Rattus norvegicus: one gene and its partner. The protein of the gene in region 2 purifies or fractionates together with the protein of the main gene of each other region. This does not show direct contact. Links are inferred from orthologs where the notes say so. Each region holds a gene or a part of one and is shown on either strand. Other genes may lie near its edges.

The links. Proteins that work in one complex are often made in the same cells at the same time.
Region 1: the proteins of Aurka (region 2) and Wdr62 purify together in Homo sapiens (affinity purification with mass spectrometry; 3 studies listed by BioGRID and IntAct, counting the BioPlex papers as one, with this or other methods). This does not show direct contact. The link is inferred for Rattus norvegicus from reciprocal best matches to the Homo sapiens genes AURKA and WDR62.

The regions. Positions count from the first base shown.
Region 1 is NC_086019.1:94,647,872-94,651,523, forward strand, and holds part of Wdr62 (WD repeat-containing protein 62), read right to left. Parts: intron 3,603-3,652; coding exon 3,540-3,602; intron 2,021-3,539; coding exon 1,963-2,020; intron 1,398-1,962; coding exon 1,227-1,397; intron 454-1,226; coding exon 316-453; intron 1-315. UniProt on the Homo sapiens protein: Required for cerebral cortical development. Plays a role in neuronal proliferation and migration.
Region 2 is NC_086021.1:181,546,231-181,548,646, forward strand, and holds the end of Aurka (aurora kinase A), read right to left. Parts: intron 2,118-2,416; coding exon 1,943-2,117; intron 1,855-1,942; coding exon 1,669-1,854; 3' UTR 512-1,668; downstream 1-511. UniProt on the Homo sapiens protein: Mitotic serine/threonine kinase that contributes to the regulation of cell cycle progression.

The sequences.
Region 1 (3,652 bases), on a different chromosome or scaffold from region 2:
TAGAGACTACACCCTTGCCTCGTGCTCAGCAGGGCCATAGTAGGTCCTTTACTGACACAGCTGAAAAGAAGGACTTTTAAGAGAATATTCCATGTGGAGGAGAGGGAAGAAAAGCAGAACGCATACTCGGGGCAGAGGGGCCAGGAGGCAATGGTTCAACAGTGAGCTCTGGCCTGGGGGCAGAGCCCAGCAGGATTATTAGTCAGCACCTGGATGCCCGAGAAGCCAGGTGACCTGGGAGACCCTGCCACCAAGTTTCAGGTAGACAAAGGAGCCATGCTATGGGGGCAAAACCGGAATGGGGCAAAAACTCACCTTGGCCTCTGTAGAGGCTTCTAAGAACCAAAACCTAACATGCCGATTGCCAACAGTGACAAAATAGCTGCTGTCCTCAGAGAAGGAGAGGGCGATGACTCGACACGACACCTTGTTGGAAGCCACCACAATGTCTTTCTGAAAGAGTAGGCACAGAGCAGATCACAGCACCACCCACCATCTCCACACCGTGCTCTCCCTGCTCTCTCTCCCATTTTTCTTGGACCTGGCAGTGATCTAAACTCTAGGGGAAACTGTGTGCAACTCTGGTCATTCCTAGTCTCCAAGAAACCTAGTCCCCAAGAAGAGTGACAGAGGAAAAACTCCCACCACGGGCCAAGCTCAATAGCCGCACGTTGGGAATGACAACAGCAGGAGGGGAGGTAGGACCATACCATCTATGGCTACCACACAAAGAACTGTTGCTCTGGGCCCTGCCCCTCACCCCTCACAGAATAAGCTATGGGCTCCAGCTCACACGGGAGGTGGGAACCTCTACCCTGCCAGGCTGAGCTCAAAGTCACATGGTGGGTTTGAAGCAGACAAAGCCCAGCCTTAGACTGCATGTCAGGGAGCTGCAGCCCACACACCAAAGAGGCATATGCTAGAAAAACCATTTTACAGAAACAGTCAAGGCATTTGTCCACGGTCATAGCTAGTCAACATAAAAATAATACTTCTGTCATAACCTTACAGTGGGGGTGCTTGGTTCCCCATCTGTTCCCTACATCAACACAGACATGATGGCCCAAACTCTACCTTGCCACCAGGTGACCTCAGGGACAGAGGCCTCACCGTGAGCATGGTGCAACAGCAGGCAATAGGCTGGTAGGTGCTCCCTAATGCCCAAGATTTAGGGTGCTGGTGACTCCCTGCCTACCCATACACCCACATGCCCACTGGGTGCTCACCTTCCAGTCCCAAACATTGAGGACCATGTCATGTTGGTAGCCCATGGACACGATGTGCTTCATATTGGGTGAGAAGGCCACACAGGCCACACCATACTTATGGCCCAGCATCTCTGCCACCTGAGTCTTCTCTTCCACATCCCAGATGCGCACAGCTGGCCGGTGCCCATTCTGGGGGACAGAGAGGGAGTGAGGCCATTACTATTGCTGAACTATGTGCAAGGCAGAGTGTGATGGTTTGTACACGCTTGGGCCAGGGAGTGGCACTGTTAGGCGGTGTGGCCTTGTTGGAGTAGGTGTGTCACTGTGGGTGTGGGCTAGAGACCCCCATCCTAGCTGCCCAGAAGTCAGTCTTCTTCTAGCAGCCTTCAGATGAAGATGTAGAACTCTCAGCTCCTCCTGCACCAGGCCTGCCTGGACATTGCCATGCCCTCCACCTTGATGATAATGGACTGACCCTTTGAACCTGTAAGCCAGCCCCAATTAAATGTTGTCCTTCTAAGAGCTGCCTTGGTCGTGGTGTCTGTTCACAGCAGTAAACCCCCAACTAACATAGGGCTAGAGGGGCTGTTTAAGCTGAAGCTGCCACTGCTGTAACTTGTTCCCAAAAGCCACTCCCCTATTCACCACAGGGCTTTTCTAAAACTAGGAGCCAATTCAGGGATTCCCGGGCCTGCAGGAAGTAGAAGGAATGGCTCCCAGACCTTCCTTTTCCACCTGCTCAGTCAAGACTCACCTCTCCTGTCACTATGTACTTCCCATCTGGGGAGAAGGCCAGAGCACTCAGGGACTTCCTGGGGACAAGCAAAGGGGTCGTCACTGGTTCCACCAAGCACTGTGCTCTTGTCGTTCTACCCACTCCTGGTCCCCAAGGCTTGGAGAAGCGTCAGCTCCTACACAGCCACTGTAGCCTATGTGCCCAGCATGGCACTCAGGGAATGGAACAAAAGCAAAGGTCTCCTCCTCCCTCAATACCAAATCCAAACACTGTAGACCCAGAATCAAGGTTCTGTTTCCTTCCCCCCAGTGTGGAGTGAGCTCTCCAGGACCTTACTCACCTGTAACACAGCCCTGAAACTCAAGCGCAGGAAATAGTACAGGCTTAGCCTAACTAGAGGAGAGGTGCTCAAGGGTGGACCCTTGTATACAGGGCACAGATATACCTCATGGAGTGTTCTAGAAACCCCAACAACTGAAATGTTTCTAATACCCTGTGCGCATTAATGCACAGGGAGGCCGAAGGTCAGTCTTCAGTGTGGCTCCTCAGGAGCTATCTGCCTTATTTTCCTGAGACAGGGTCCCTTTCGAGGACCTAGGGCTCACCAGTTAGGCTAGACTAGCTGGTCAATGAGCACCAGGGATCCCCGCCTCTCTACCTTTCTAACACTGGGAATATAAGCCCATGTCACCATCCCTAGCTATATGTGTGTCCTGGGGACTGGATTTAGATCCTCATGCTTGCGTAACAAGGACTTTACCCACTGAGTATCTGTCCAGCCAGTCTCTGATCCTCTTACCTCCCCTGAACATGGGCCGACTTAGCTGGCATGCCTTTGGAAGCAAGCCCACGCCCAGACTGTCTAGCTTTAGCCCCTCATTTCAATCCAGTTTTTACACACTTTTGTTTTTGTTTTCTTAGACAGGATCTTATTGTGTAGCTCAGGCCTCACTTCACAATCCTCCTGCCTCAGCACCCTAAGTGCTGGAATTACAGGTTCATGTGCTTCTATGTGAGCCTGACAAGCCCACAGATGATTTACCATCCTCCCTGCCTGTGTATGTATCCGGTGACTTCTCTTTACGTCCATATGACATCCAGGGCCCTCTCTAAGATGCAAGGGGGTGATACAGCTTCTGCTTAAGAGTCCCTTCCCCCTTCTTACTCCCCTGCACTTGGGCCCATGGCTACTCTGCTGTTACTTGACCCTTCACCTCTGCTGCGCATCTGCCCTTGCATGTACATGGCTATCATTACTTCTGTTTGGGCTCAAACTCAGGGAGGCCTTCTGATATAGCTGTTCCCATTCTCTTTCCTAACAGCCCTGCAGGCATTTTCCTCTCCTTATCAGCTAGTAATCTGCTGGTGGGCTCATGGTCTGTCTCCCATGCTGTCTAGAACTCTAGAGGGCAGATCCTTGTCTCTGTTCACTTCTAGGTCACCAACTCCTGGAACAGTACTTAGCACAAAGCAGGTCCTATGAACACGGCTGAGGGAATGAACCCACAAACACCTCCAGGCTCTGTGGAGAGGAAAGGGGATTTGGGCCAGCACCCTGGTCCCCCAACCCTGGCCCATGCCCAGTCCCAGCCTACCTGGTAGTGTTAAATATATGTTGCTGCTTGTTCTCCTTGGGGTTCAAGACCACCACCACACAGCTGGGGAAAAGAAGGAAGTGAGTCTAAACTGGGGGCTTGGAAAAAGTACT
Region 2 (2,416 bases):
ACAGAGCTCTGGCTGACAGTCTCCTTGCCCACGGAATCATTTGTCTCAGTTAGCGTTTAAAGGAGTTTTTGCGAGGCAAATTTTCCGTTTGTGAGATCTCTGAAGTGGGATTGTTATTTTCCCACTGCCAAAACACTTTCACTGATTTCAAATCAGGATGCATTACAGAAACTATTTCCTAGGACTTCCTCGAAGCTAAGCAAGATGCCCCAGGCCAGTGGCAGGCAAACAGGATGGGGACTGTCAAGCCTGTGTTCAAAGAGCCTCGTTAGCTTCCGGCTCTGGATCCTCACCCTAGCTGCTCTCGGCTCCTAACACCTATGCAAAGAAACACAACAAAAGCCAACTCGTGCTACCCACAGCCATGTTTTTTCCAAACCTAACCCCACTCTCAGCCCTGTACCCAGCAGCCAGAACCCAGGAGGATGAGTTGCACCCTATAAACCAGCAAGACAAGCAGAGCGGATCTGCTCCTGTGCTATCTTTAAGTAGAACTGGAGCAAGGAAACTATTTTAAGATGTAAATCATTGTGTCTCTACTTTTTTAAGCAGACCAAGTGAATGGCTTCGTCTGTGAACCAAATAAAAATCTTTGTAAAAGCGTGTGGTCTGTCATCTGGTAAGCCATCACTGGAAGAGCACGGTGGGAATGTGTCAGTCATCTGCACATAACAACACTCACAGAGCATGAGCAGAGCAGGCAGTGTCCCGTGCTCGGCTTCCTTCCCTCAACCACCTCACACCTAACTGCAGCTGGGCAGTTGCTACTTCAACAAAGCCAGTTAGTTTAGGACAGGACCAGGGACCAAAGGCCACTTGTCCCAACTGGAGGGCCTCTGCAGTTCCACTCAAGCATGTTCTCCACTTCATGATGGTGGTCCAGTTGGCATGACATTTAGCCCTGGGCACCCGCATTTCCAGTCATCTGACATCTATCCCAAGTTGGCCATAAAAGCCTGTTTGTCTAATTCCAAGTCCCCCTCTGGTTGATGGACAGATAGCACTGGAGCACATCCAGCAGGTCAGAAAGGCACGGCGGCTGCCCATGGTGAGCCAGCAGTGAAGAGATGCTCAAAGGATTAGCCATGGACTCCAGGCAGGTGTTATAGTTATACATTTAACAAGTTGCATACATGACAGAACAACATAAAAAGTAGCCTTTAACATCCAGAAACACCTGAGGCAGGTCCCAAGCACAGGCTCTAGAACAGTGGTTGAGGATCTGAACCCCACATGGGCTTCAGAAGGCTTAAAACAGGAGGGCCTTGAATGGGTGTCCCTTAAAAACAGTCTATACAAATCTTTATTTTGACACTAAAAGATTACATATCCATTCCAACAGCTTTTCCAGGCCTGGTGACCCAATAAGTTACACACACACTGGCACTTGGAGGCTAAGACACAGGTGATCACTGGTAATTTCCCACAGAGACCCCCACACCTTGGAGCATAGGCCGGGGGGGACAGTTGCAGTGGAACCTTCCTTCCAGATTACATCAGAAAAAGCAGCATGGTTCTTAGGGGCTGGGCAACAGGCGGGGCTTCCTGGGTGCAAGGCCAAGGTCTAGTTGCTCAGCAAGGCACCCTGAGGGCAGCGATGATGGTCTGGGCGGCTTCAATGGGACCTTTCTCACAGTTAGTTGCACAATGCCCATGGCTCCAGATTCCCTAAGACGATTTGCTAGTTGCCTCTTTGCTATTGTGGCCAGTCGGAGGTTTTGAAGAATTAGCTTTGATCCAAGGGTGCTCAAGGACTTCCGCTAGTGTTAGCCTTTGACTTGAGTTGTGTTTTAACAGTCTTGAAATGAGGTCCCTGGCTCCCTCCGTCACAAAGTCAGGGAATGTGAATTCAACCTACAGAATAAATGATAAAAAGAACCGTGGGTCAGAGGTATGCACGAATAAACACCACCCTCGGAAGAAGCCTGACAGCAGCGCTCACCCGTGATATCCTTCTGTAGGTCTCCTGATAAGTGTGTGCCTCAAAAGGAGGCATCCCCACTAGGAACTCATAGCAGAGCACCCCCAGGCTCCAGAGGTCCACCTTCTCGTCATGCATCCGACCTTCAATCATCTCCGGGGGCAGGTAGTCCAGGGTGCCACACAGCGTGGTTCTCCTAAAACAGACAAGGCTGGGGCTGACACAGACATACTACGTGGTGACGTGACATGAGCCCTCCCTATGGCGGGCCAGTGCTCTCAGACAGGTGCCCACCTAAATGGTCAGAGGGAAGCACGTAAGACCACACGCTAGCACCAAACTTCCCCAGACCCATCCAACTCCAGGAGCTCCAGGGAAATCCAGGGAAGTGGCAACTCCTCTCACCCCAGTAACACCACTGAGGCTAACAGGACCGTGAATCCTGGAGGCCAGTCTGGGCTTTGAAGCAAGATGGTATCTCAGAAAACAATGACA